Linked DNA regions of Arabidopsis thaliana. The protein of the gene in region 3 interacts with the protein of the main gene of each other region in a pairwise test. Each region holds a gene or a part of one and is shown on either strand. Other genes may lie near its edges.

Region 1 (9,197 bases), on a different chromosome or scaffold from region 3:
TTTCGGTGTGGGTCAAGTTGATGGAAGCTTGAGTTGTATGAATCAATGTGTGATGTTGAGTTTATATATAATGTTGAGCATTTCTGTTTAATGATAGATGTATGACTCATAGTAAGGATGCTGATCTGTTGGATTTATATTTAAAAATGTACGTACTATATCATAGTTATTTGTATTGAATATAAATTTGACCAACCTAAATGTTTGTTATTCAGTTATGAAGATGCTTATTTCAATTTAGTTTAACAGACCATCAATATGAACTGAAAATTTTCATCTAGATTACTTGATTTTCAATTTTTTAGTGTAGATGATGAACTGAACCATATAAGAATGAAATGAAATTAAACTCTACGCAATTTCAAGAAAAGAAAGAGTACATATTACTAAGTACTAACTCCACTGCAATATTTGTTAAGAAACTGAAATTTTAACCGAAAAATCTAAAAACATCCACTGCAATATGCTAATTAATTATATAGTCATAGATGTCATAAACTAATGGTGATAGCGAGAGAACACAGTATTATTAACAACATTAACGGCGATAGCCCAACTAATTAAGCTGACATAGATGCAAATTTGCAATGAAGTTGCAAGATTATATTAGTGGGGACTATGAAATTATTTAAGTCTATTTCAATTGTTTGTGCAAGGTGTTGTAGGAAATTTTACGTTGTATATATTTTTCTTTTTGACGTGTATAACATTGAAATAGTTTGGATGGAACAGTTTAAATGCGAAAGGGCTTTCCATTTCTATTCGAACAAATTGGTTATCAATTAATCGAAGTTCATACTAGCCAAAACTTTAGAAGTTCAATCAAAATCCAATGTGAATTGTTCCTGCATGCATGCATGTGTTTTTGGTCAAACAATGATTTGATTTCTATTAGCTTTAATTCAAAAACAAACAACGTTCTGGAGCTACAAGAGCTCTCTTCCACCAAAACATTAGCTAAACGAGGAACGTAAACGGAAGACATAGAGATATTTGTAAAACGCCATGTAGATATCATTGTGTGACTCCTCCAAGTTGATAAGATTAACCAATTTGAGTGGGGTCAGACTTGAAAAACTCTGATATGTACGCATCTAAATTTCAATTTCAATCAACATAACCAAAACGTACTGTATATTGAATAAGCATTTAGCTAATTCCATACTCATTGTACTTTTAATCCTCCTAGTGGCTATTTTATTTCGTTTTTTTCAATACTATAAATTATTAGAATAGAAGACATAAGAACACAAGTTCATGTTCTCTCCCGTTAGTTAGTGTCTTTAAACCAAACCAAAACCGTGTTAAAACCTGGCAACTCACATTTATACCAACCACCCAACCTGTCTTCTTTATTTTTTTTATAATCGTCGTTAGAATCAATAATCACAAATAGTATACTTTAATATAAAACCCATCTACTCATTAAATAAGTGTTACATGTTAATAGCTTGTGGTCGTAGATACATTCATATTCGTTTCCCTCAAGAATGCATATCATTTAATAGAATCCAATCATTCATATTATGATCTGTTTCAAACAATGTCAAACCCATTTCTTTTGAAATATTCTCTCCTGATTTCACGGACCAAAAACCATATTAGTACAAGGTCGATTTAAAATATATAACATTTCAAAACCACTAAACTAAAGCCATCTGAAGAAATTTAAAACACTCGTAGATCGGTGCTCAAATACAGTTAAAACCGTTGTGTCATATGGTTATATCGTTTGCATAAGCGTGATCGCGATGTGTTACCACAATTATTGCATTAGTTCTTATAATAATAACATAAGAACACAAAAATAATTCATGATATTTTACATGTAGACGTAAATGTCATTAAGAAGCGCGATCATATCAGATGATCCTATCATTAAGCACTACGCGTAATACAATAATTGGATCGTTATCAAATTCTTCTTATCGAAACGAAACTTCGTGGAAATTTACAAAAGGACAACACAAGTACGTGGTGGTGTCACGGGGGCTGTCGTTACTCTAAGGGCCCAACACTCACGAGCTTCCAACTTCGATCTATATTTTCTTAAAAACAACAATAACTCATGTCGACAACAAAAAAACACTAATAAGTAATAACTGACCTAGAATTAATATTCGGTTAAGTGATTTCTGGCAAACTTTTTTTTTTTTTTTGGTCAGGCCTACAATACTATTTAATTAATTTTTGTCATAACAAAAAACATGATGACCTCACATGTAAACTGAATTTGGTTTTCCGAAGCCCAAAACCTAATTCTTAGTACTTTAGAAGGCCCAATTTATAATAGTTTTTTACTTTGCGTGTGTAGTTTGTAGTAGCTCTTCTTTTAGCATGCTCCATAGAGCTTCTTAAAGGAGCTTCCGGAGTTACAAAGCGGTATATTAACAATCTCCTACATCCAACAAAAGAGCACATGAGATTGCGAAATGTGTAATTGATGATCTTCGACTTCCTTAGTATGTCGCAAGACATTACCGATGTGTAATTGTTGCTCTGTTCCTTACCTTTTTGGCTCTCTCTCTGTTAATGAGTTGTTTTGACAATGGGGCATCGTTGGTTATAATAAAAGACGATAAAAAGCTCTCCTTTTAGCATGCTCAAAGTATTTCCGAGTCCAAGACACATTATGAAGATAAGAGTATTTACTAAATTCATATAAAAATAGTTGGAAAGATAAAAGTAAATAGTAGTTCTAGAACTAGTAGCTTATTATATATAGTAGTCGACTGTTTCATAAGCTACAAACTTCATGCACTAAAGTAAAAAGTTGGTTGCATTACTTAGGAAACTAAAGACAGACAAGAGCAGAGGAAGAGGAAAGAAACCTCCTCATTCTTCATTTCAAACCAACGAAACAACATATATCTAAAAAAAGTTAACATGAAATGTCGAAAGAAAGACTTACTACCTTTATAACTCCTCTCACTCCATCCTTTTACGTTTGTTTTTCAGTTTTGAAAACATTTGCTCGATATCTGCAGAAGTTATCGCCTTTGATGGCCCAGCAGACTCCTACAAAACCAACAACGAATCAAGTCTTTTTAAATGAAGTGGTTCCTGAGAATTGTAATCAAATTTCTTTCATAGATGGTGACAATATATACCATTAAACCCTGGAGTCCGTCTTGGAAGTCTTTGATTCCGTGAAGGAGCTCAACTTTGGATACGTGGTCTAGATTATTCAGAAGATCAAGTGCTTCACCTTCTTGTTTCTCCAGTTTCTCTGTTCTTTTTTCCTTCGCCTTCTTCTCGTATTCAACAATTGTGTCCTCTGCATCAAGTAGATAGCTTACCTTTCTCTGCTTATACATCTCAAGGCACTTTTCGCATCTGCATAGGATGTTCCTCCAGTTTTTGGTCAAAAACAAAGGTTTCTTCTCAAACTCAGGACACGAGTTTAGATCAGTCCTAATAACACAACCAGCTGCAGGAACATTTTCAGAGCCATCGATCTTCTCAGAACATTTCCGCACAACGAATTTCTCGGCTTCAGTACTGTTCTCAGGCTGGCCGGCTTCAGATTCATCGATCTTCTCAGAACATTTTTGCACAACAGATTTCTCGGCTTCAGTGCCGTTCTCAGGCTGGCCAGGTTCTGAGTCACTGATCGTCTCAGAACATTTTCCTACAACAGATTTCTCAGCATCAGTACCGTTCTCTGGCTGGCCGGGTTCAGAATCCATGTGGTTTTTGTCTAACTCAATTGTCTCTGAACAAGCATTAGCAGAACCAGTGGAATCTACTTTAGCAACAACCCACAAGTTCTCAGGATAAAGTGTCAGAAACGAACATGCTGGGGAGCAGTTTTGACAAATGAAATCTTCATAGATCGGCTCACTTTCCTCATCCCTTGGAATCTGTTAACATCACATAACAAATTGCACTAAGCGCCAACAACAAAAAAAATCAATCGTAAACAACAAGATTAAGCACTGGCCACAAACCTGGCTACCAACACTGTCTGAAGGTGTGAGACCGAGATGCTCCTCATGAAACCAATCCTCACAGAGACAACACTGAATCATCTCTACTTGTTCTTCCACATTTGGGTCAGGGTAAGGTCGGTCGCAAGTGCAGTACAAGCCTTTGAAATTATGGTTGTAAGAATTTTCAGAGTTTTCTATATCTTTGCTCGGGAGAAGCTTACAAGCCAAAGTTCCAAACTTTGAGTTCCCGCAATCACATCGAAAATTTCTCTTAGTCCACAGCTCCAAAAGCTTCATAACCAGAACAATGTTCAACCATTAGGAAACCAATTAACACTATGAAATCAGATTTCAAAATACATAACCTGGCTATATATCAACCATATTTACCTCATGGCCATCATGACAAGATAAGCAACAAGCAGTGCAAATTCCAGCATTCCCCTCTGGTGTACATGTAATGCATGAGAAAATTGCTTGCCTTTTCATGTAACCCTTTGGGAAAGTACACTCATCTCCTTCATCTCCACCCAACACCAAATCCGCTGCCTTAACATCAAGAATCACAAAAGCAGTTAATGAATATTAAACCCCTAAACCCAAATAACATAGGATTACAGAAACAGATACACACTACTGAAATTAATAGAAACTAATTAAGAGACACACACTATCATTACTAGCTAGCCAAAACCTCAGAGACTGTACAATAACAATCCAACACACTCCACTAGCTTCAGAAAAGGTAGTCAATTTAAGGTCAGAATCCAATTTCAAGACGTTTGTTTACACTTAAATCTAAACGATTTATCACCAACCAAGGAGTGAAAATGTGGAAGAGTATTAAACTTTCGTAAGGATCAGAAACATACATAAGCTTTAAAACTGATCAAGAGGAGAAAGAGAACATTACCAGCTCTTCTGCGTCAAGCCTTTCGATATATTCATTGATCGTTATAGTTCCTTCAGCTTCATCCTCGAAAACACCAGATGCCATTGTCGCAATTATTCTTCACAAATTCCCACCTGAATTCACTACTAAAAACATGAAATTGGGTAAAATAAAAGCTATTCGAAAGACTCAAACGAGATATTCCCTAAATTCCTTAAAAAAAATGAAACCCTAGATTATTCGCAAAACATCAAACATGTCAATCGGACCATTACCAGGTTATTGATGGAGTTCTCAGACTTGTAAAAGCCCTAAAGCTTTTCACTTTTCAAGACATAGATAAACGAAGGCAGAGAGAGAGAGAAATTGGGGAAAACGAAGGTGGAGCTTAAGGGTTTGGAAGAAAGAAGGATCTAGCGGATGTTAAAATTCTTAAATGCGAGAAAATTTATGTATGTTATATAAAGGAAGGGACTTTATCGACATTTTCCCGCCATTAACCCTCCAATTCTATTACCCTTTTCCCTCCACTATCAGCAACTAAGCATAAGCACAAGATAAGTATTGTTACTTGATAATGTACATGTTAATATTAATTTGTATCGAGATTAAACGGATATCAAAATCTCAAATTCTTGCTTATATGGTTTTTTATGAATTGAAAATTTATATTTATTTTTTTGTTTTGATAACTAATGTTTAACAAATATCATATCTGTGTGCAACTAGTCAAATCTATCCACAAACACACATACTAATAGAGTAATAAGCATATTTTTAATTATCGTAGATTAATTGATAACCTCTAAAAAAAAAATTAAATTGGGGGATAAAATATTGATAAAATCTAAAGTTATTTAAATCAAAATCACACACTTTTTGTTTTGTTTCTTGACATCTTAATTATAAAATCTAAATATTGGCTAATATAAATTTCAATTTGGATAATATGACTTTATTGGGCCTAATATGATGATACGTATACGGCCCAATAAGAGGTTGAATATGACTTTGACTTTTTCAGGTTTATGGTCAGTGAGTAGCAACCAATCGCAGTCGTAGTTGAAAGTCTCTATTAACTTCTTCTCCGATCTGAGAAAACGCGTCAGAAGTTTCTCGTTCTACAGATAGAGAGAGAAGAGAACGAGAACGAAGTAGAGAGAGAGAGAGAGAGATCATGTCGCAGCAGAAGAAATACATCTTCCAAGTTGAAGAAGGCAAAGAAGGTAGCGATGGAAGACCATCAGTTGGTCCAGTGTACCGGAGTATCTTTGCCAAGGACGGATTTCCCGACCCGATCGAAGGAATGGATAGTTGTTGGGATGTTTTCCGGTGAGATTTCTCGTTTAACCGATCGGAGTTTGTGTTGCATGAGCCTCGTTTCCGATTCTTGCTGAGATTTTGATCCTTGATCTGTTGACTGATCATGGAATTTGTTCTGACTTGCGTTTTTTGCTCTTTATGGATTCTCAAGTAGTAAGAATCGTATAGTTTAATTTCGTCTAGTGTTTATCTGGATTTGATTCATGTTTGTTTAAGTTTTTCGGATCGCAAGATCTACCTAAGTTGCTCTAATCGATAGAAATATAATTTGTTGGTTAATGATTTTGCCATTTGTCTATAATAACATCGTTTTGAGTGGCATGTGATTAATTAACAGTTGCATGAATTTGGTTGACATTTTTTGTTTTGCTTTGTGTGTGGTTTGGTGATATTTTGTGGTTGTTGACTTACATTTTTCTACTGTTATTGTTTATTGCAGCATGTCTGTTGAGAAGTATCCAAACAATCCAATGCTGGGACGCCGCGAGATTGTAGATGGAAAGGTGTTGTTACTGTTTGTTATTGATTTTGATTTTGTGATTTTCGTTTCATGTTATTATAAAATTCACTTGTTATTTTGATTGTTCTTAGCCGGGTAAGTATGTCTGGCAAACATACCAAGAAGTCTACGACATTGTCATGAAACTTGGAAATTCTCTCAGAAGTGTTGGAGTTAAGGACGTAAGATCCATCTTTTTCCTTTCAGATATCTATATTCAGTCTCATTATTTCCTTTTTTTGTCGCAATGTGATTATTCCCTTGCTTAATCTTGTGTTTCCTGATATGTGGGATATTAGGAAGCAAAATGTGGTATCTATGGTGCAAATTCTCCTGAGTGGATTATCAGCATGGAGGTAATTTTGCGGCTGAATCATGATTATGTCATTGATTGTGTTTTGTTAGAGGACTGACAGTGCACTTTTGATGTAGGCTTGTAATGCACATGGACTCTATTGTGTACCGTTATATGATACACTAGGTATGCCTTTTTTAGTATTTCCCAATATACTCTAGAAGGATAAATTCGCCAATAGATTTCCAGTGAGCTTCTACAAATCTTTTAGCTAGCTTATTTGTCATTTTTGTTGCGTGTCAATTTTATAGGTGCTGATGCTGTGGAATTCATCATTTCCCATTCAGAGGTTTCAATTGTCTTTGTGGAAGAGAAGAAGATCTCTGAGGTACAGTAAGAATATATATTTTGTGTGAAATATATATTTATCACTTTCATGCATTGATTACCGTTGCTAAATTTTACATTTTTGTAACCTCTTCTTACCACTTGCTTTTGAATTTTGATTATCAGTTGTTCAAGACATGCCCAAACTCGACAGAGTACATGAAAAGTGAGTGATTTTTTCTTGTGTTAGGCCTGTTAGGCCGTTAACATAGTGTGCTTATGATCAATTGTACGTGATTATAATTACAGCTGTTGTGAGCTTCGGGGGTGTCTCACGTGAACAAAAAGAAGAAGCTGAAACTTTTGGGTTGGTTATATATGCTTGGGATGAATTTTTGAAGCTGGTATGAGACTTGACATTTGCTCGTCCTGAAATATACTGATTCTGTGATATTTCTTTCCAGTGGTCTTATAACTATGCTTATCATGTTTATACTTTCCATTGCGAATATTTCTCCCAGGGTGAAGGAAAGCAATATGATCTCCCAATCAAAAAGAAAAGCGACATTTGCACGATTATGTATACGAGTGGAACCACTGGTGACCCAAAGGGAGTGATGATATCTAACGAAAGCATTGTGACTCTAATCGCTGGAGTGATCCGTCTACTGAAAAGTGCTAACGAGGCTGTGAGTTTCCTTCTTGCTTTCATGCATTTTTTAGGATTCACAAAGAAGCTGCAATCTTTAAGATTCCCATGTTCCTGACTCTGGTCTTAATCGTTTTTTTTGCTGTGCAAATCAATAGCTGACTGTGAAAGATGTGTATCTTTCTTATCTTCCTCTTGCCCACATCTTTGACCGAGTTATCGAGGAGTGTTTCATTCAACATGGTGCTGCAATTGGCTTCTGGCGAGGGGTCAGTAGAGTTTGAACCTTTTTATTTAAACCAGTTTTGAATTCCTCACTTATAATTCTCTCCGGGTTGTCTCCTCAGGATGTAAAATTGTTGATCGAAGACCTTGCTGAGCTTAAACCAACTATTTTTTGTGCTGTACCTCGTGTCCTGGATAGAGTATACTCAGGTAAGATGTTTGAAATATCATATGCCCAAGTAGAGCAAGTACTTTTCAATTCGCCCTCTATATTGAATTATGTTCTCGTATCATCTGTTTTTTCCAAATAACTGAATCTGAGGTTTTACATTTGTACCACGTTACACACCTTCATGAAACTATTACTAGCTGATGATGGGATATACCAAATGTGAAAAATATTCTCAATTCTACTAGAATATTCTTATGATAAGCTTTCATTCTTTCTTCTTTGGTGATTGTTACATTTTCCCATTATTTATATTCCTAATTATCAATTCGATTTCGTATCATTGATATACATGGTTTATTCACTTGGACAAGTTACCCGTGTCTCATTAGGTTGACCTATTATATTAAACAGGTCTTCAGAAGAAGCTTTCTGATGGTGGATTCTTAAAAAAGTTCATATTTGATTCTGCATTTTCCTAGTAAGTCAAACTTCTCTTTGCTTATCTATGTCACTAACCTTTAAGCTATATGATCTAACACACTCAAAACGTTCTCAGTAAATTTGGTTATATGAAGAAGGGACAGTCTCATGTGGAGGCCTCTCCACTTTTTGACAAACTTGTGTTCAGCAAGGTGGCAAAGTTCTTCAATAAAATTCTATACTACACAACATCAGAAGAGCCTATCACTCTTCGTTTTGAAATTTTATAGCAATTATTTCTTTTGCTTTACCACTTAGGTTAAACAAGGACTCGGAGGCAATGTGAGGATTATTCTATCTGGAGCTGCTCCTCTTGCTAGTCACGTAGAGTCATTTCTAAGAGTGGTGGCATGCTGTCATGTTCTCCAAGGATACGGTACCCATTCAATATATTGAGTTCTTC
Region 2 (7,350 bases), on a different chromosome or scaffold from region 3:
GCTTCAACTTTCTGTTTTACCGCACCGTGACATTTCGATGACCTTGACCAGCTGACAATCAACCCTAGAGCTGGTAGAGAATTGGGTTATGTCCGGGTGAAGATGGATCATATCAAATTTAAGGAAGGCATGCTTAGGTTTGTGGCTTTCATCATACAGATTTACTTTCATGATTACACGGGTTCTTTATGTTAATCTATATGTCCTTTGGTGGTCTACTATATGTAGTCGACAATCCATCTTGGATCACATCACTGTTCAGTTAGCACCCCGTGCTGCAGATGAACTATGGTACGGTGAGGATCAGGTGAGAGATATGATATATCATTTTACTCTTCTCTAATAACTGTGGTCATATTTTTTTTTAGTTTACCAACCTTTGCTAATGATTTGTTACAGTTAAGCACGATATGGGCTGAAACATCGGATAACGCAAGATCAGCTGCTCGATCATTGGTTCTTGGTGGTCTTTCTGATAAGCATCATGGCTTGAATAACTTCTGGGTAGCTGATCGAATTAACGTAAGGCCATATCTTGACATTGTTTTCACTTCAGTTTTCAGAGAACAGATATCATCTTCTGATACATGGATTTGCAGGATATTGATGTGGAGGCATTGCGGATATTGAACATGTGTTACGAGCGTGCTAAAGAGGTAAAGTAGACTTCTAAATCAACTACATCTATATCATAGCATCTCCTTTATATTGGTCTTGTTAAATATATATTTACAAACGCATACACCAGATTCTTGGAAGAAACAGGACGCTCATGGACGAGGTGGTAGAGAAACTGGTTCAAAAGAAAAGTCTAACGAAACAAGAATTCTTCACTCTTGTTGAGCTCTATGGGTCCAGTAAACCAATGCCACCGAGTATCCTTGAACTTAGGAAGATCAAACGGCTTGAGCTAGAAGAGATGGTGCTGAAACTGGACATGACTACCGCAAGAAACAGTTCATAAGATGATTGTAATTTGGAGAAAAGAGACAGTTCGTGACAATCGTAGGGAATAAACATCAAAAACCCATTATAGAGACAATGAGGTTGATCCTTTATCTATATTTCCTCTGTAATCTTTGTAATAGTACATGTTAGATAATTCTTTGAGCTTCAATATAGTATAACACTTCTTTTTATCCATATTGAAGCAATAGTCAATTTTAAATTGTTTCACATATCTTGAAAAAAGGATTATGAATTTTTATGTCATGAACTTATGTGGAGCATGTGGATTATTTTAATTTGCTATATATAAAAATTGGAAGACATTGAACAATGGGCACATGCTAATCCATGATTTTTCTTTTTGTTAGGTATTTAGGTGAAATTGCAAATTGATGAGAATCAAATCAAGAGTGCTTAGGTTGGTCGATATACATACAACTATTTGATTATTATTACAGAGCAGATAACATTTGACTTGCAAGATTTGACAACTAAATGATATTTACGTGTTACCAATTTTTATTTTATTTTTAGTTAACCCGTTTACCAAATCATTTACTTAACCTCCTTATTGGTAATTGGCCACCTTAATGGCTTAATCTCTATTATTGAACCCACCCGACTCATCATCATGTACTGTTTACTAAAAAATCGAAATACCCAACCGATTTTCTAATTTTATTATTTAAAACTCTTACGTACATAATTGTTCTATACAATTCACTTCACTGTTATTAATGATAAAAGTCGTTTATTTGAATTTTATCAAAGCACTACAGAAATTAATATGTTAAAAATAGTTTTCTCATATTTTATAATCTGGATATAGGTTCAATACGATTTCTTTGGGTTCTTGTCTCATATAAAGTGTCCAAAATTATTAATCTTCTTAAACAACGGTAAAAAAAATAAAAATTGAATTCGTCAAAAGAATTTGACAACAAGAAAAGAGGTCCACAACGGCAGTATTTGACTTGCTCGTTCCCACACCACCATCTCTACTCATATTCAGTTAAATACTATATTTAAGCTAAAATTAAACACACTCAAATATTAAAGAAATAAACAAAACCCGTGTTTAAGAAGACTAAAAATCACGTAACAGTTTCAAAATAAAGAGCTATGTGACTATGGAATCTGAACTGTAACTCCACCTTTTATTAAAAATTCAAATGCATTTTTCTTCTTTGAATATTGATCTTTTCGGTTTGTTGGCAAAAGTTTAACTAGTTTGATAAAAACAAACGAATTAGTGGAATTTAATATGAATTATAATAAGGATGAACCCGTGACCAAAACACAAAACAAAAGTACGTGACCGTTAATGTTCTGTACTTATGTTGGTCGAAATAAAGGAATTTCATTTTATCCACAGTGATTTTATGTTGGTTATACTGTAAACGTTTTTCACAGCAGAAGCAATGTTATTTTTTTGCAAACATAAACTATATTCTATTAGTAATGTTGGTGCACAAAAAAAAAAGAAGAAGATATAATTAGTCAAAATATTAAATAAGTAAAAAAGATTGGACGGTGTACCTCATTTGAATTATTTTTAGAGTGTTCTATAATGCATTCTCATATTTGATCATTACAAATTTTGTTCCAACCTAAACTCCTACAGTTACCTAACTATAATATAAATTTCTTGCTTCTGGAATTATCTAATCGACATACCTAGATTAATAATCTTCAATCTTGTAAATTGGAATGTAGTTATAGAATAATGTCAACTTGTCATAGATTCCAACTATTTTCTTCACAATAATTGTAACAATTTAAAATCAATTATAGTCAGCATTGGAGAAGAGGGTTATTGACTGGTGAGAAGAAACAAAGAATGACCATTGACTCTTTTAGGAATTTATACGTTTAAGAAGAGTTAAATAACATTTTTGTTTGTTGTGATTCACAAGTACAAGAACATTGCGTAACGATAGTTTCCAATTTCCAAACTTACAATAATTGTATGTTATATATATTACACATTTACATAAATATTAATAAGTATATTTTACAATATTTGGTACACTAGCCCTAGTATAGTAGCATATGCTACGTATCCGTACAAAAAGAAAAGAAATACAAATGTTATCTATGATGCAATATTGCAATATAATGCACTTTCCTAACTTAATTAGTGATTAAAGCTCCACAATTCCACGAAATTAAACTCCGATATTTCTTCATAAAAATCCATAACCGGAGGATACACCCAACAATCGAACGGCTCAGAATAAGCCAGATCAGCACGTGATGTCACACTCTCGTCATAACTTCCTTCTTCAATGTTAGGCAGCTCCACAATTTTCTCCAACCTCTCCTCATCCTCTGACTCCGCCGCCACGTAAGAAGATTCCGACGAAGGTGGGGCCTCCGGAGCCTCATCCTTCTCTAACAGTTTTTCTTCGACCACCATGGCGGCGGCTTCTGCGGCGGCTGTCTGGATATCATGCGGCGATGATGACGCCGGACGAGGGAAGAGAGAAGCAAGCTCAGGGAAATTTAAGACGGCGGAGGAGCCTTTGATGGTGAGAGCAGCGACGTCGTGAGCACGAGCAGCCATATCAGCGGTGACAAAAGTGCCGAGCCAAATACGAGTTTTCTTACGAGGTTGTCGGATCTCGGAGACCCATTTGCCCCAACTTCTCATCCGCACACCTCTGTAAACAGGATGTTGCATTGAAGAAGATGAAGAAGCAGAAGAAGAATCTCTCCTTCTCTTTCTTGTGTTGTTGTTTCTGGGTGGAGCTTCTTCTTCAGACAAGTGGGTGCTTGTTGTAGTAGTTGCATCAGATTGGTCTGATGACGATGATGTTGGTGATGCAGAGCTGTTGAGTGACGTCATCTTTTGTACTCTCGTTTGATACTTACTTCTTCTTTTTGTGTGGATGTGAGACATGTATTTATAGACTGACTGCTAAAGTGCTAATGAGAGAGCTTTGATTCTGAGGTTTTTTTTTTTAATAAACTTTCTTTTAGTATAAAAACATAACACGTTTTTTTTCTGGTTTTTGGATGTGAGAATCAATAGTAATTATTACAACCGTCAATCGTACCAAATTAGACTCTTAAAACTGTATAGTATTTTTTTTATTTTTTTCCATATACATATGAGTAAATTGTGATTTTGATTTTACAACTGCATACTATTATTATTGTGTTCTTGTTTTTAGATTATTTTGATTGTTCTTTGTTTTGGGTGGAATTAGACTATTTCTTTCTTTTAATTTTTGTCAACAAGCATACTATTTCTTATTTCAAAGGCTAATTAATTTGGTGGAAATGTGTCAAACTATCAAAGAAAATAAATACTTAATTTGACTAATGAAATTAGACGCTCCATTTTAAGTGACATTTAGCCTACCCATCTTTCAATTATCATGAAGATTTTATAAAAATCCAAAAAAAAAAAAAATATATCTACACCTATTATATGTAATATACATTTGACCATATTGATAATTTTTTAAACGAAATAAAACTGAGGATGGATTTGCCAACAAAGAAGCATAAAAGATGCAGAGAATGTAAAAAGAAAAGATTTACAGAAGAGATCGTTTATTAACTTTCTAAAAAATAATCTCAATGTCTCCTTCGTTTCCTATTTGAGAGAGACTTGGAGAGTCTAAAGTTACTTCCATATGTCACTATCAATCTGCCCGTTGAGGTATTTTTATTCATTCTTTATTTTTATATTTACACAGTATGGGAACCTCAAAATCTTATTAATTGGATTTATGTAATGAGGATGTCACTCGTCATTTTCCCGTTACCACTTTTTAAAAAGATAAGAAAAGTAACTTCCACCATTTTTTTCAATCTTTACCGTTGGTAGAAAGTACACAAAAGATGCATTCTTATTAAACTTCAGGTAAGAAAATAAAGGGGCATCATTTCCTTTTTCTCTCATTAATCAAACTCTGAATAGTTTCACCTAAATAGATTGAGAAATTATTAGCTTTCTTTCTTTCTTATCGTATGAAAATATCTACACCAATGCAAACACTTGACCAATGGATGTATCCTAAAATAAGTAACGCCAATTTAAAATGAGCAAACCAGTATAACAGGCAATGCTGAGAATATGGACCAAGTTTAACGTGTGAGAAAAAAAAAGCTCATTGCAGCCACTTAGATTAGATCTACCTTATTTTATTAACTACTCCAAATTGTAACAGACATCACGATTAAACAAAATTATCCCTGGCTTTCGTTTTTCTCCATCAACAAAATTTTCTAATTAAGAAACGCAAAAACAACTGGACTTGACTTGAAGTCTTTAAACTATTCATATGCATTTCCTTTCTCAGTTTCATTTCCTTTCTTGTCTACGTTCGATACACAGACACAAGTCTCTTCAGATATAATATATAGCAACGGAACAAAATAAACACATCTAGTAACAAACAAAAAGCAACTCTACAACTACATGTTCATGCCAAGAACAATGGACTCCAAAGAAGAAGAAAAACCAAAGACAAAACGAGGAAACAGATAAAAGAAGCAAAAACCCTTACCATATGAATTATAAAGCTATCTCCATTTTCTCCTCAAGTCTATACAGCTCTCATAAATTAATGTTTTAGCTTCCTGCACCCTTGTGTCCACATCTCATGAAATAGCATTTAACACTGGAAGGCGGAATTTTGTAAGCAACCATCAAGATACTCTCTTTGTGTCGCGGGCTGATGTAAGATGATCCTGCATCACACAAACATTTATGTAGTTGCTCCATGAGTGTATGTACATCAAACGAAGGTTTTTTAACTATGCCACAAAAGTAGATCTAGTCTGACTATGTTTAGGTGGTTTTAATCGAGCTAGACATTATGTGTGTGAGATTTGATGTCACATGTACAAAGACAAATGGCAGATTGACCAAACTTTAGAATCAAAGATCAGGAGCAAGATGGCAAAACTTACAGAAATGAAATCGAAGGCTCTGGTATCTTCTTTTTTCGAACCATTCATTGTTGAGGTTGGAGCCTGATTACCAAAATTTGGCTGGAATATATCAGGGAGTGCGGACTGATTCCCTCCACTTGTACCCATAGAAAGAACATTTCCGCTACCCTGAGCGTTCAGATTGCCGAACTGCTGGAAGTTGGACATATTACCAAGGTACTGCTGCTGCTGAGCTAACAAGCTTGCCATGGCAGCGTAATTCAAAGGTTGGGATGCAAAAGCTGGATTCATCATCATCCCTTGAGGAAAATTGAATGGCATAACACCTCCAGGAAGCATTGTGTTTTGAATAAACCCAGGATTTTGTGAGCCAAGAATGCCTCCAACAGGATTTTCCGGTGCTTGGTGGCTGGTGGTGCTCGGCATTGCAAATAAATCCTGTGGAAGAGTGCTTGAAGACGAGCCTTTCTGATTTGAATTGTTTTCGTCAATGGAGAAACTTCCCATCAAATCATTAATGTTTTTTGCATCTTTTGGCTCTGCTTCAAGTTTTGCAGTTGACCCAAACATATCAAATAGATCAGGCACATGATTACCACCAACAGCAGCGGACTTTTCCCCGACAGTCATTCCAGAGAAGAGGTCATCTGCACTTTCTTTTTCTTCATTCGGATGAAATGAGACATCTGCAAAGGGGTCGTCATCAGTTTTCTTCTCGCTGCTACTCAGTCCAATGTCAGAGCTATCCCCAAACCAATCATCATCCATCAATGGACCTGCTGTCGCCACTGTACTGCCAGTATCTATAGCATTCAGATTGTTCAAAGTATCGTCTGAATCACCGGTGTCAATCAAGTCAGGTAAATCAACAGCAGCCTCTCGCTTCACAGTATTATCAGAGCTGCTCATCAACCCACTTGACTGTCCACCATTTAGAAGGCTCAGAACCTACACAACATCGGTATCTCGAGTTAACCAACAAATTAGCATAATGCCAAAAAAGAGTTTTGTGAATGGTTATAACAAGCAGAAGCTTACCTTGTTCGCCTTTTCTCGAAGGGAAGATTGTGGAGACTCTGCGCACCGCTGTATGGCATCCAAGTTTTCACTAAAATAGGTATGTACAATTGAAAAATTCTCATCTTCCTTCTTCCTCAAAATGGCCTCAAGGACACATAAAGCTTTCATCCGAACCTGCCAAACAGAAAAACACAGTTACTTTCAAAGTACAAAAGTGGGAAGATTAACGCTACAGAAGAAACAAGCCAGGGAAAAGAAAATACAGATGATATAATCAAGAAAAAAGTACATTAGTAGCATCAAACAGTTTCACAAGGAGGTGACTAGGAAATAATCATAAACATACCTGCCACATTGGAGAATGGAGCTTCCCGTCAAGAGCAATGCTTAAAGCAACAGCGTCCATTTTTGCAGCCTCTAAAATGAAAACATGAAGAGCATCACGAGTTGGCTGCAGGCGTACACCACCAGATG
Region 3 (8,147 bases):
TAGGATTTGTATTGATGTTCTTGCAAGGTTACTTATGGACATAATAGTTTTCTGCTCGAGGACATAAATAACTTTATAGTATTTTGCACCAGGTCACTGCAAAACTTACTGCTTTGAAGGGGTTGGATGCACGTCTTCGGGAGATCCGGAGTTATCTTGACCTTGTAATCGAAGGAAAGCTCCCTCTAAACCATGAGATTTTATACCATCTACAGGTTAGAACTATATTTCCGTTTCGTGTTCTGAATTTTACAAATTATGGAGAAACTATTTGACAATGTCCAAACCTATGTGTTTTGCGCTCTTTAAAATATTCTAGTCACTGTCTCTGCTGTTGGTTGATTTCGTCTAATGAAATATATTCTCGTAAAATCGACAGGACGTTTTCAACTTGCTTCCTAACCTGAATGTGAACGAGTTGGTCAAGGCCTTCTCCGGTGAGTTTCTGCTATCATTTTGATATTATATTGGGCTGCTTTCTTAGATCTGCTTCATTAATCTTTACTGTATTTATAATGTGCAGTGAAAACAAATGACATGATGCTCGTTATCTATCTATCATCCCTCATTCGGAGTGTAATTGCGCTCCACAACTTGATCAACAACAAGGTTAGATCTTTACTTTACTCTCTCTCACGGCACACAATAATGTGATTCTGAACTAAATCTTGTGATGATGCTGTGTTTCAGTTACTGAACAAGGAACATGAAAAAGCAGAGGACTCAAAGCCTGTGGCCATACCTGCCACCAGCTAGATCAGGTTTTCTCGTGACTTACTGTAGTCATCATTGCCCGCGATGAAGGCAGCTATTGTGTGTTCTCTTCCCCAAAACAAAGGGTCAAGTCAGGGTGGGGGAACGAACGAGTTTAGTTTGATATCGACATTGTTGAATTCTCTCAGTTGTTCTGATTCAGAATGTATCAAAGAGTCTTTTTTCATTTTATCTTTCAAGTTCGTTAGGCTTAGGCCTCTTTTGAGGGGGTTTTGAATACAAAAGTTCACGTCAATGTGTCGAAATCTCCACAGAGATGGTCTTATCCTATTGAAATTAAGATTTTTTTTTTCACATTTCCCCCCCCCCCCCCCCCCCCCTTCTGTTATACTCTCACATCGTGACCGAGTATACAGCCCCGGTTGAATGTTGTTCGTTTTCCAAAGTCAACATGTTCTTCATGTTTGTCCTTAGTATGAAATTTCTGATTAGAGCCATTGACCACAACAAGGGTGTTACTTATGAATTTGTTTACTAGCAGAACTGAATAATTTGCATATTACCTAGATGTAAAAAGGAAGACTATACATTTTGATGAGCTTTTCTTTAAATTGAAAAGAAACAACAAGAAGAAAAAGTAAAGTGAAAAAGGATTATGGAGGAAAATAAAGTTAATAAATGGCGTAATGTTCGTGAAAAGGATATTTGATGCCAAAAGACAGAAACGAAAACAAGAACGTGCTTTGATACGCATTATGCTTCTTCTTTTTCTAAGTCTACTTCTTTTGAACACCTTCTTTTTCTATTGTGTATTATGTTAATCCTTGTTAAGGATACTCATTTTGCAAATCAATATATTACTGTCCTGTTTTACTTAGATATCTATAAGAAAAAAGTTTCAAAAATCGAAACCGTTATAATTTTGTGTAAACAAAATAAAAATCAAAATAACGTAGCTCACTACGAAAAGTAACAATGTAGTTGTATACTATACAGACGTGACGTAAGCATTCAAGAAGACGACTTTCATATTAGTATGTTAGTTAGTGGTTAGGTCGCATATCCCATTGAGGTGACCAAATCCATAGTGACGAAGTAACCAAAGTGATTAATTTATATAAAGAACGTTCTGAGTGTTACTAAATAGACATATATAGAAAGGTGTCAATACAAAAATTCTCAGTTTTATGATCCAAACATATTATAAGTTATACGGCTATTATTGATTGACCTTTCATTGGGTTCCATTCAAACGCCTCATCAAAAGTGGAGCCACGAAAAAAAAATAACAAATTGAATTGTGTGATGCCACTTTCGTTAAAAATATATATGGTTCATCATCTTCATCGATGAATGTCATAGGTGGTGTTAGAATTATATCGACTCCAACCGACCTACATTATTAAGTAGTATCTTAGGGTTTTATTCCCGCATGCAAAAAATAAATAAGGTTCGGATGCTCTTAAAGTGACTATATATAGTATATACTATTCACTATTACTGATCAAATCAAATTAATATATGGAGATAGAGTAATCATATTACGTAGTTAGTAGTTACTTACTGTTCGTGATTAAAAAGTGAGCTTTTCTTTTATATTCTCAAATTTTTTAATTAGAAAACTAAAAGCTTTCAAATTTATAACAAAGCGATTCAATATAACTTCTCTTTATTTGCACAAAAATAAGTATCTTTAACGATTCGTTCATCCAATGAAATTTCCTAAATCACTTTTGTTTATGTTTTTTAATAAATTCCAACTTGACTTCTTTCACAAAAAGAAGGGAAAAAACAAAGCATTATATATTCCTTCTGATATGAAAGAAAACATATATCACATTTTCTAGCTCTTTATTAAATTAACTAAAAGAAATACGGAAAAAAAAAAACATTCTTAAAATAATTTTAAAACAGGAGCTTGTATATATGTTCCACTTGTACTAAACTGCTATTTTTGTTTGTAAAGAGTAATAATATATCCAAGGACACCCTTAATTTATTTATAAACTTAACAAAATTGAGGGAGCAAAGGGTTGGTGTAATAGGTGAAAAGAATGTGATTCTGTGTGCCGAAAGTGGAATGCAGACTCAGCTTCTAATTATATACCGTTTACAAGTTAGTGGTCAGCTTTGCCACCCATACACACACATACAAATATATCCAACCCTCACTTTTTAATTCCTTTTTCTTACATAAAATTCTATACATTCTTTTTGCTAAAGACAATTTCTTACCTTAGAAAACAGTATTTGTGTATAGTTCTGTGATGAATCATTTTAAGAAAATATAAAACGTAAATGAGTAATGTTATACTAATTTATCTACTATCATCGATCAAATGTTCAGGTTTAGAGACAATTTTCCAAGAAAATGACTGACCGTTAAAGTTGCAAGTAAAGCCATAAACCCGGTACTTGGTCCTTTTCACCATTATTGATAGTTTTGGCAAAGAGACATATATACTAGCTAATATATGTTTATTCCATAAATACAAGACATACATATTCACATTCCTCTAATAATGTAACATAACTTTTTAAATAAAACATAATTATGGTTTCGTTGCAATAGTTAAAATTTCAAAATTCTCATTTTCTCGTTTCAAGATCTTGTGAGATACAGTAACCTCCTTCACCGTAAACATTTGCTCCGGAAAACTTAATGGCAGGATCGTAGGAAGAGAAGACCGAGGATAGATTCTGACCAAGAAACATAACTCCCTCCTCTGCATTATCCCTGTCGGTGAACCCTAGTTTCGGCTCGGCCTGTTTTGAGACTAAGCAACCGTGATCAGACGATGGACGGCTAAGATTGGCATTGAGAAGATTGACGGTGGTGATGTCGTGAATGCTAGGCCGTCGTTTGTCTTTCGCACCGGAAAGCTGTCTTTGGTAGTACTTTTGGGCATGACTTGCAACCTGAGTTGGTGTTTTTGATCCCACAAAGTTCCTCGATATGTTTCTCCAATCTCCTTTCCCATACTTGAGAAGCCCTAACAAGAATCTCCTGCAGAAAACAATTAAACAAGGTCTCAGCAAACCAAGAAAACAAAGTAACTTGCAACTCAAGACACCAAAGAAGAGTGAAACAAGGATCACAAAGATTGAAAACTTTGTTCACCTGTGTTCTTCCTCCGTCCATGGAACTCCTTTCCTACGGTCTTGATCAAATCCTCTGGCTCCATTAGGAAGTTTACGATACGCATCAAAGTCACGTGGACTCACAACCTGATCAAATCCACAAGGAGTAACTGAACGGTAACCCGGGATCGGGACAAGTCCTGCTTCGATATCGAAGAGGTCTTCTTCAAGCTTAGAGTATTGCCTCATGACATCTGATATGGTCTTTCCAGGGATCATAGCAGCAACTTTGAACCAGCGATCAGGCGTGTCATCAGCGTAGACAGCAAGAGCTCGCTCAAACTTCTTGTTCTCTTCTTTAGTCCAGCTCGAGCTTTGCAAGCACATCATCTCTTGAACTACAAACCGGTGGTCAGAAGTTGGCACGTGCGAGAGTAGTGGATGCAGAGTCTCCATCGTTTAAAGGCTACGAGATAAAAGTTCTACCTATAAAATAAAGTACTTAATATTTTTCCTCTAATTCTTGGAAGCTTGATTTGTGGGTTTAGTAAAAGACTGAAGCTTCTTATAGGATCTAAAGATATATAGGAATCAAACTGGGAAAACTAACGAATAGTTTAATGATGGAATCAAAGAACCTGATTTAGTGAGAGATTATAGCGTATATTAATTGAAGAATCTGGAAAGAAACACAAAAGACTAAGACTTTGAAGAATCCTTGAGAATCTGCAAAAGTGGGTCGTCAAAGTAATACAAAACAGGCAAAACTCAGATGGTAGAGAGAGATAATCAGTAAGATAGATAGGGAGAGATTGTGAAGCAAAGGGAGAGAAGAAGAAGGTATTTGTGGTTTGTGTTATAAAGAGAAAGAGAGAGTGTAAAAGTTTTAGCCAATGGAACCACTCCACTCCCCTACTTGGCTTCATTTTATTCCAAAGAGGATTCTTCACAATGACACGAATTCTAAAAATAACAATAAACTTCAATTATAAAATTCTAACTAGCTACTAGCTAGGCCAACATTTCATATCTTTCCAAAATTTTAATAACCACTAGTATACACCGTTTTTTTTTGTTAGGTAGTTTTTCTCTAATATTATTCAAAATAAAAGCGACAACACATAAAGTTGTTCATACTTAATGATAGTTTACGTGTTATACGTCGGCTATGTCTAAGGCTTAACTAATCATAAAACACACATAAAATAAGGAGAAAAACTTCAAATTTACTAAAAAAAACCAAAAACAATGCGATTGCTTTACTTAACAAAAACAATGCGATTGCTACAAATTGTTTATAGATGTAACTTAATTAATGTTATTCGAGATAACACGTAAGCTTAAACTTAACGACACTTTATTCTTTATGTCTTTTTTTGTATTTCGTACCACTTGAAAATGATACTTCTACGAAATTTCATAAGCCGCCACAAAAACAAGATTGAAAAAGAAAGAATAAATATAATAAATGCAGAAGCGCCTGTAGCTCAGTGGATAGAGCGTCTGTTTCCTAAGCAGAAGGTCGTAGGTTCGACCCCTACCTGGCGCGTTAATTTTAGTTTCTTACTTTTTAGAAAATTACTCCTTAACCTTAAAGGGGTAATTAATTATTGGGATGCGACTAAACCTTTTTTTGCCCACTTTGGGTACTGTTTTTTGTCGTCACTCGCTTTATCTACTTTTTAATTCAAAAAAGATTCTAATCATCAACTCTCACTCAAAAGCCCCTTTCACACACTCCATTGTTGTCGGTGTCCCAAACCTTGTTCTGCTCTCTCGTAATATGCATAGAACTAAATGCTAAATATCTTCTCCTAATGAATGAAAGTGAGAACAATTCTAACACAAACCACTTAAGAATTAGGCAATTCAAAGGTTCATCAACATGATTCTCTACCTGTCTGTTTTTATATAATCCATATTCATAGAACTAACAAAGAACGATTCTTTTGGGTATAACATCAGACAGAGACAGAGGTCAGAGTACAAAAAGGATGGCTTGTAAAATACACTTGAACCTATGTTGTAGTAGGAATAGGAAATGAAGTAGATTGAAGTCTCTGCAACCATGCGATTCTCAAACTGGGCTTCTTCAGCTCTAAGAAGATCTCTCTATACTCTCTCTTCAGAAACAGGTCCAACGCAAACATGTAGAGCTCACTACCTTGTTCGACCTCTTCAATTGCGTTGAGGCTTTTAATGCATTCTCCAATGCTGTACATCGGCTTTGCCGATTCAATCTCAACGAATACCGGACTTTCCTGCAACATAACGTCATTCATTAACTTCATATCATCCAATGGTTGAGCGTTTTCACTGTCTATCCGATCTTCTTGAGACTCTGCATAACAACCATTTTGCCTGGAGGTTTCTGCTTCATCTACGTGCATCTTTGATAATGGAGTTGTGTCACGCCATTGTGGTGATTCAGAACGATTGTGGAGGAGCTTCTTGCGCGAACGCGAAGGAGGAGTGTATGTCTCTCCAGGTTCTATCACTCCGTTGAAAATGATTGCAAGTTGATCAGCATGAGGAACTTCCTTGTGGCGGAATTGTCCTGCTCTTGGGTTTTCCTGTAATAAACCAAAGACAAACACTATCTGTTCAAAATGTAGTCCAATGGGAGAAGGATAATAGTTAAGACAACTAACATTATCATACCCGAATATAGATTCGCCATTCCTCTTCTGTTGCACCAAAGCTACGAGATTCAGGATCCCATTTCATGCTACTTGCTCCAACGAGTTGACACCAGATCTTCCAAGCTTTCCTAGTGCAATCCCAGTGGTTTTTCAGCTGCGGTCTCGTATAACCAAGGCCGGTATTTTCATTAATAGTCCCCAGAATCGTCTTCCACCCTTCCTTGTTAAAATGAGTGTCGGGTCTATTTCCCTTTAAAGTCTCTTGAACCAACAGATCAAGAAACAGCTTATGTGTAGACGGAGACCAATACCCTTTTGTTTGAGGGTTAGATGAACTACACATGCTTTGGTTATCTTCATCTTCTTCCTCGTAACAACTTCTTCGCCTCTTCCTTACACCCGAGACTTCATCATTTTTCACCTCTACATTACAACCCGCAAAGAGAATCTCTAGCTTCTTGAGATCATGCGGAACACTCAACCGATACTGCCCAGCATCAGGATTCTCCTACGGCACAAAGCAATCACATTTTAGCATTTTATAAAATCAACAAAAATGAATGTAACAAGTGGTTTTGATTTGTAAACCTGTAAATAGTTAGCCCAGTCATCATCAGTTGCACGAAACCTGTTGCTCTCAGGGTTCCAATTCATAAAACTAGTTTCAACGAGTCTACGCCATATTTTCCACTGTCTGCTCATTGTATCCCAATGGTTCTTAAGCTGCATTCTATCGTACATGGCGCCTGTTTGCTCCTGAAACGATATCAATATGTTCCTCCAACCTTCTTTCGAAAAATGTGTCCCTGGTTTATTCCCTAGCATCGTTTGCTCCACACATAAATCAACAAACACTCTGTGATACTCAGGCTCCCACACTGCTTTTGGCCTCATTTCTTTTTTAACTTCTGTTCTCCAAAACTCCTAACAATTAAAAACGATACCTTTATCATTGTGAACTCGTTTTTAACAAAAGCACAGAGAGACAGAGACATTTGCATAAACATTAACCCAACAATTCTAGATATTGAACACAAATCATATAAACAAGGCATTGAACCAGAGAACGCAGACGCAATTACTTGAAACGTGTTTCAGGGAAAAATATGATTTTGCGACCTGAGACTTCGCCTACTTCAAAATCCCAGTAGTAACCGAACACGAAAATGGGGAAAATTGCACGAAACCCTAACTCGATTAATCGGGAGACTGAAAAACTACGATAGTGGTTAGGATTTCGCCGGCGGGAATTGGGAAGCTGAAGAAGGGAAAACGTTACCGGGAATCTGATGGAAACGCGACAGCGATTGAGTGGCCACTCTGTGACGGGTGTGGCTGGAAGAAGCCGATCGCGATTTTTCCTCTCTTTCTCTGCTTTTTGCGTTTGCGCCGCGCTGTACGGATTTTCCAAGGCTTTTCTAAGAGTTATGGGCTGGGCCGAGTTCTTTGGTCATGGGTCATAGCCCAATAAATTACACCGGTTCTTGCCTGACTATTTGTTTCCGTTTGAAGAGATACTCTGATTGGTTAAGAGGACACAGACTGTGAGACTGGTTTGCGTTGGGTCCGGTCTTGATTTTGTTCAAATTTCTGCTCGACTTAGATGTTTTTTTTGCTTTCTTATCGAAACATTTTTATAGCTGATTATGTGAAGGAGTTAGGAGAATTGAATATGGGTTTATCGAAAAGGTGATTATTGTTCCAATCAAA
Region 4 (7,189 bases), on a different chromosome or scaffold from region 3:
GAAAACTATCGTAGGTATCTTTATATAATACTACATGTTATGAGGTTGTAGTCCACATGAAAGATGGGCGTGAATCTGATTCCCTGTTTTCTTTATGTCTTTTCCGAGCAAATATACTACTACTTCAGGTTTGGCCGATTTTAATATATTCTATGCACATGTCTAGAGATTTGGACTAATGATATAGGTAAGGATCTAATACGAAATATCGCGTGAGGGTGATTAGCTTTAACAAGAAGCAAGATTGATTGGTCGAAAACATTAACAACTTCGAATTCGTGAAGTGGGCCAACGGTTTATAATTTTCTGAGGTATATGCCCCAAGAGTACAAACGACAAATGTTAAATTTGGTAGTTACTGTTGGTTATTCGTCATAGCTTGATCGAATTAGATGCATTAATAATGATGTATGACATGTATCTAATGCGCAAGTTATAGTGGAGGAGAACGTAGGAAAAACGTGGTTCTCTTCGTCGGTCATCTAATAGATTTGTCTTTGTTGCTTGGTCAAAAAGTGATCATGCAGGTATGTGTCAACTAGGTTCACCTGGCCCGGACCGGCCCATATCATAGGTGAGAGATAAGCCCATGTATGAGAGTCTAAATTTAAAAGTACCCAACTTCAAATACTTTTCATGATACCACTCAATTATCAGACTACTTTCCATCCACAAAATGTTTTTCCGCCACTTTTTTTATAAGAATCAGAGTGTTTCTATTAAGAGATTGATTTTATGAAGTTTTGACATTATTTTTTCTATTGTTTCTGTAATATTATTTTGTGATTTGTTTATTTTAAAGATTAAAATTTACATTTCGCTTAAAATTTTGGAAACGTTGGACCAGTAGCAACCTCACACATTCATAGATCCGATCAGATTTGCTTTGTAATGCCCTTTGAAACACCTTAAAGGCCAACATCTTGAGGCGCAAGTATAATATCAAGAAAAAGAAAAACATTTTTTGACATAGCTTAACATTTGAAAGATTGTGTCAAAATTGATAAGTTGGAAAGTTATATTTTATTAATCAATTTATTAGAGATTAGAAGAAAGTAAATGTTAATATTTTACGCATACTCTAGATGAAAGAAACCTTCCACATATAAAACCAATAACTACAAGACGTAGAGACAGAAAGTAGAATAGAACTACTACCTTGTTTGGTCACTAGCATAATGCTCTAAAGAATAAACAAAAACAAACCCTAAGCTTCCTAGTGTCTACTTAGAATGATCTGGCTTTGTCATGAGACTTTGAAGAATGTTAGTCTCAACGCTTTTGTTACGCTGCAGCGAAGGAGTCCGGTGAAGCTTGCACTTGAATGACCCCGGGTGAGTGGTCGGTGAGCAAATGCAAATGGTCTTAGTGATGCTGGTCTGACGGGACAGACCCCCAAGGCCCATCGCCGCTATGGAAGCTTCAGTCTCCATGTTTCCTTTGTCGTTCATAATGTGAATATTAAAGAAGAAGGGGAATCAATGATGAACGAAGAGGGTATACCTCATTGTGTGTATATAATCATTTTATTATTTGAAGAAGCTTTAAGACTGAACAAATCTTTTTCTTTTTGTATGGTCATCACGGGAATGATGATGGAGTCCATCAAGGACCAACTGTATCCTTGAACTTTTCATGATGTTTCATCTACTTCTATCCCCAAAACCAAAAGGCCAAAAGCCACATAAGTCACTTTCTAATGGTTAATGATTCATGATCATGACTTCCATCATTCATCAATTATACACTTTTATAAATGTTGTAAATGTGTATACATTTATATAGTATTATACACTTTTATAAATGTTGTTGTTTATATATATGTATACATATATACTTTTATAAATGTTGTAAATGTAAATGTATATATATATATATATATATATATAAATGTGTATAATACTATATAAATGCAGTGCAATGCAAAAAAAACTTTTGTTATATACAAAGCGCATTGAATATAGAGGAAAACAATATGAGCTAGGAGCACTGAACTTCTATTTCATATTTAAATGAATATAATCTTTTCAATTAATATTTGGTAGAATAGTTCTATATATAGAATTGTAGTAACAACGAGATTTCAAATTCAAATAAGTGTTATGATTTTATTTTGAATGAATATCGATAATTGAATAATTTTATGATATATTTTTATATAATGTTTTGTTTTAAAATAAAAATTAATATAGACTGATGTGATCATATAAAACTAAAGACAGTCCCAACATCGTTCATATCACATCCACTAGAAATTCCAATATTTAGAAGATCTCTTGGATACTTGAAGAGTACCCCTAAAGATCATAATTGGGATATGGTTTTTTTGAATAAGGGTTATAAACATTGATGCAAATTCGAGTCCTTAAGTATATGTTTACTGAGTTTTGATGGTGCAAATACTTTAATGGACAAAGGATTTTGTGAACCTAAATATAATTATGCCCTTACGGTGATCTGAGAGGGAAAAGGGAAAGAAGAAAAAGCAAGAGGACAAAGGCTGTCTTTATGATTCTGAAGTCAACTTATAGAAAAGAAAAAAAAATCTTAATTTGTTCAAGATATATATTTTTGTCCTTTAGGTATTGTCTTCATCCAGCACCTCGAGTATTTTTACTTTATTTTTGTTATTACCTTTGCTCATAACCGACATATGTCATACACAATTAATTAACTTCGCTCATACTCAGATAAAAATTGTTCTTTGCTAAAACATAGAGATAAATTGATCATAGCACTAGACGAAAAATTAAAAGACAAAAGATTTGAGTTAGTTACCCTTAACCTCATTTCTTACAACCCTAAAGAAACTGTGAAGTGATAAGCACGTAAAAAGTAGAACAACAACAATATTCTAATAATCATCATGAAAGCAATACTGATAAAACATTCCACCATTTCCGTTCTGCTGCATCTTAGCTGAATCAAACCCATTCTCATGATCAGCCCAACCTAACTCTCCATGATATTTAACCTGACCGAATCCGTTTCCTTCGACATGGAAGTCAGCTAAACGAACATCTGTCTGAAAACCGCTCTCTGGCATCGTCGGGAAAACACCAACCGACTGTTGGTTGCTCTTTGGAGGTATAGAAGCATGTTGAGAGATAGGTTTTGGTAAGAAGCCTTGAACAATTTCTTGAAGAAGACCAGAACTAGCTGGTTCTGGTTCAAAGATATTTGATATCAGGCTCTCGTTCTCAATGGTACTTGACCTCTTAGCTTTAGGCGAGAGATCTTCACAGACATCGTTGACGTTAGTGAAGGACTCGTGAACAACGTCGTTTACGTTAGAAAGATTACAAGGCGGGTAAGCGAAAGTGGTTAACGGAGAAAGAGACTGAGAGTTTAACACGTCTCGTAGAAGGAACATATTCATTGGAGGAGACGAGAAAATACGGTGGTGATAAGAGTCGAGAGAAGGCATTGGGTAGACGAAGTTGGTTCGAGCTTTAAGACCACGCATGGCTCGAGCGGCGCAGTCATATGCGCAAGCTGCTTCCTCGGCCGTGTCAAATGTTCCGAGCCATCGTCTCTCCTTGGACAATGGGTCCCGTATTTCAGCTGCGTAACGACCCCATGGCCTACGCCTCACGCCTCGGTACCTTATCGTAGAGACACCGGAAGCGCCGGCGCCGGAGGCAGCTTTTGCGGTAGTTACTCCTCCGGGAGAGCCAGGAGCTGTCGAGGAAGTTCTTGATGGCTTTCTTTTCAAAGAATGGATGTTGGTTTCTCTGTGCTCGGCACCTTCGAGTCTCATGATTGCTTCTTCCATGGTTGACCTAAGGGAAATTTTTAAAGCTAAGAATTTTTCTTTTTGTTCTGTGATTGTCTTAGGGTTGTGAGGCACCTGAATGTGATGATAGCTGATTACGTATTTATAGAAAATAAAATATACATTTTTATTGTTTTTAATTTAAGATGGACCTGACCCAATATATAATTTAAAAAAATGGACTTGCATTGCATCTTTTATTGACTTGTGAGTTGTGAATCTATGAGAGATGCAGAAAGCAAAAGTACGTTTAACGAAGTTCTTGTTCCACGTTCGAACTTACATGTCTTTTCTTTTTCCTTTTCTACGGACTTGCATAAAAGCAGTTATAAGTTACATATTTCATGTCTTTTTGACAAGTAACAAATTCATAATTATGATGTACTATTTTTATCTTAACCCTTGCACCATTCTTTCTTATTGTCAGAGTATAAAGGTCCTTTGATACTGTTGATTAAAGGTCGATTTATTCTTTTGTTTTAAGTGAAAGACATGAATATATTTCAGAAAACTTTCTTGAACAATTTACAAATTAAAATTATAAAATCATTGATTTCATTTATTTTTGAACAAATTCAAAGGTCATCGTTTTCAGCTATTTCCGTTGGTCATATTATTCTTTAATCTTTACGCACTTTTCTTTAATTGTGTTTTGGGAAATAATCAATGGTCATTAATTTATAATAATAATGAATTACAGTAATAATAATAAGCAATAGAGTTAAAAGTGATTTATACAGTAGTTTGTGGAAGGGAAAATTATGATGTTGGAGTTGAAGCTTAAAAGGAGAGGGTTGAAAATCGTGAAATTATGATTCTGAATTAATAACACTGGCGGCGCGCAGAAATTGTTCCTTCTACATGAGGTTGTGTTTTGTCTGTTCTTTTTACGAGATTATGGTCGATTTGCTTATTTAGGGTTTTGCTTTTTAATCTGTAAACCAAAGTCACGTGGATTTGTCTCAACTAGGGCTCTTTCTTCATGGTGTAGCCTCTTTAGGGCTTTCCTACTGTAGCTCGATTGTGACTAATGACCCTTTGCGTTTACGGAAATCAATCTCCACCACTAATTTCGTATATATATGTTTGATAATTAATGTAATTTCGCATTTACATAAAAAATAATCTAAATCTCTCTCACATTCTTGATCAATTAATGTCTGTAAAGCTCCATTCATATTCGAGCCCTAAATATAAGGGTTGAATGCAAAAAAAAAAAATCCGTCAAAAAAAGTTTTATCACGCCTAGGAGAAAAAATTATCAATCGTCTAAATATAAGGGTTGCATGCAATTATCACGTATGTTATTATGTTTATCACGTAATTATTGACATATATCGCGTAGGAGAAAAAAAATATATCAACGCAGAAGTCTTTTAGGAGTGTCTAAATATTTTGCCGTTGTTATATATATAACGATTTACAATCATATCTAATTGCATGTAATTTTTTTTTCATTTAGGTTGTGCCGCGAAAAAATATGCAGATTGAAAAGAAAAAAATAACAAACAAAAAAATGGAATAAATATGTGAGGCAAACAAAAACAAAACTATGTTTCCTCAACAAAACGTTGGCAAATCATGTCTACAAACAGTAGATGTTGAAGGAAGAGAAGTCGTGAGCTCCTTGTGGAATTAGTGGATTATGAAGCTGAACACCACAGAGCTCAGTTTGTAAGGAATCGAAATCACTTTTAAAAAATGTGGAAATTTGTGGAAAACTTGAACCTATATAACGGTGGTATCAACTTGTACGTACACGGTACAACATATCAACAGAAGATTAATTCATGAAGTAGTTTGAATAATCGGCTCTAGCTAGATCTTTAATTCATAGAAATCAGACTAATATTCTAAACCTAAACGATATGGACGTCAATTTGTCAGATGGAGAAAACGGGAAAACTGTTAAGAAAAGAAAATCCTATATTTCTATTTTGATGCATGCTTCCGTCTTTCGAAACTACAAAGAATTAATTTGTAACTTTATGAGTTATGACAACAAAAAAAAGAAGTATTATCATAGCTTTGAAATATATAGGGTGGAGTAGTGAAAAAAAAAATATAGGGTGGTGAACACTATTGATTACATGATATAGATTATTGAGAAATTCCCAATATATCCACATAAAAGAATTAAATGAATGAGAGAATGTGAAAATGTGCTATTTGAACCCAAAATCTTAATTTATTTAATTCAAAAAATAAATGTGCTATGTGATAGGGGTTATAATACCTCAAAAATATATTTACTATTATGCTCAAGAGGCATTCTAGTTAAAGATTTTTTTTTATGTAACTTATTTAAGTACTATATATTTTAATATTTTGGGTTACAAAAAAAATATATCTTACAAAGGAAGTAAATTAAATGTGAGCTTGACCGAAACATAACGGTCCATGGCTCCCATAATAGTTTCTTTACATTTAGATGAAATGAAATTATAACTTTGGTCTTGAGTTGAAATGTCTGGTAATAAAAGAAGAAAATGGAAGGCAAAAATGAAGGGGCAAAGCTACGAAAGTAGGTTACATGCAATGGTACGACATTAAAGTTGATACCAGAATTGTCGCCTCTCTTCTAAACGCGTGGGTTTTTTCTCTGCACAATGCGTCTCTCTCTCTCTCTCTCTATCAATGGCAATATAAACAATATATTATGTTTGACTTTTTTCCCACACGAACGGGCCATCATGTTATATAATGTGATATCGATCGCTAATAGTTGTGGAATATGTTTGTAGCTACGCAAATTAAGGTCATATATGCTATAGCTTACATCCCAAATAAAACACACACGTTACACGTATAAGAAAATCATGCATGGAGCATGGTGATATAAACTAAATTCTTCCATGCATTGTGATATGTAATGCATGGAGCATGGTGTAAACTACATTCGTTTTAATTTCATCAAGATTTGCAATTTTCAATTAATTTTAGACAACAACTTTACATCAATAAAAAATAAAAAAATTTGGTCAGTGTTCGTTTTATTAAAATAAAATTTCTAACTGTACCACCGTACCTAATCGCATTTTCAATTTTTTTTTGCCATATGTTTTCTTTCAATTTTCATTTACAAAACTTGGAAACCAATGTCTCGTTATAGATTTTGATTTTGGAATATTTGAGAGGCACAAGATGACTTGAGCAAAGATCCCGGATCGTGTAGGTAGTCATGTGTTAGTGGATCTTAGTGAACGACCTCGATTCAAAGCTGCTCGAAATAAATTCTTTGTGTTTGTGTCTTGATCAATATTGATTACACTGGATTAGATTTTTGTGTTAACGCATTGCAATTATATGAATACCCTAGAAATAGGGGTTGTTTTAGTTTGCTAGAAAGATATATGGATATTAAAAGCACAGATTTTGGTCCCCTCTTAATCGTACACCGTATCTAAATTATAA

The links.
Region 1: the proteins of AT5G05790 (region 3) and AT4G23860 interact in a two-hybrid assay, tested with the Arabidopsis thaliana proteins (one large-scale study listed by BioGRID).
Region 2: the proteins of AT5G05790 (region 3) and AT3G16280 interact in a two-hybrid assay, tested with the Arabidopsis thaliana proteins (one large-scale study listed by BioGRID).
Region 4: the proteins of AT5G05790 (region 3) and DRNL interact in a two-hybrid assay, tested with the Arabidopsis thaliana proteins (one large-scale study listed by BioGRID).

What each region holds. Positions count from the first base shown.
Region 1 is NC_003075.7:12,405,068-12,414,264, reverse strand, and holds AT4G23860 (PHD finger protein-like protein), read right to left. Parts: upstream 5,259-9,197; 5' UTR 5,100-5,258; intron 4,971-5,099; exon of another isoform or gene 4,968-4,970; 5' UTR 4,930-4,967; coding exon 4,846-4,929; intron 4,732-4,845; exon of another isoform or gene 4,482-4,731; coding exon 4,323-4,481; intron 4,224-4,322; coding exon 3,951-4,223; intron 3,864-3,950; coding exon 3,111-3,863; intron 3,019-3,110; coding exon 2,929-3,018; 3' UTR 2,587-2,928; downstream 1-2,586. Other genes in the region: LACS4 (AMP-dependent synthetase and ligase family protein), read left to right, coding at 6,002-6,156, 6,587-6,650, 6,739-6,828, 6,946-7,002, 7,079-7,127, 7,253-7,329, 7,455-7,494, 7,578-7,672 and 6 more.
Region 2 is NC_003074.8:5,514,801-5,522,150, reverse strand, and holds AT3G16280 (Integrase-type DNA-binding superfamily protein), read right to left. Parts: upstream 3,941-7,350; 5' UTR 3,851-3,940; coding exon 3,086-3,850; 3' UTR 2,880-3,085; downstream 1-2,879. Other genes in the region: EMB2083 (AAA-type ATPase family protein), read left to right, coding at 52-137, 229-307, 400-522, 600-656, 749-964; AT3G16270 (ENTH/VHS family protein), read right to left, coding at 5,611-5,652, 5,875-6,804, 6,895-7,050, 7,223-7,350.
Region 3 is NC_003076.8:1,737,421-1,745,567, forward strand, and holds AT5G05790 (Duplicated homeodomain-like superfamily protein), read right to left. Parts: upstream 4,767-8,147; 5' UTR 4,252-4,766; coding exon 3,836-4,251; intron 3,722-3,835; coding exon 3,304-3,721; 3' UTR 3,103-3,303; downstream 1-3,102. Other genes in the region: RPN8A (RP non-ATPase subunit 8A), read left to right, coding at 93-215, 380-437, 524-609, 691-756; AT5G05800 (Myb/SANT-like DNA-binding domain protein), read right to left, coding at 5,814-6,368, 6,457-6,945, 7,026-7,331.
Region 4 is NC_003070.9:8,711,535-8,718,723, forward strand, and holds DRNL (DORNROSCHEN-like protein), read right to left. Parts: upstream 3,845-7,189; 5' UTR 3,776-3,844; coding exon 2,855-3,775; 3' UTR 2,831-2,854; downstream 1-2,830. Other genes in the region: AT1G24577 (uncharacterized protein), read right to left, coding at 1,224-1,451. UniProt on the Arabidopsis thaliana protein: Required for correct embryo patterning and cotyledon organogenesis. May positively regulate the gibberellin signaling pathway leading to germination, hypocotyl elongation, and leaf expansion.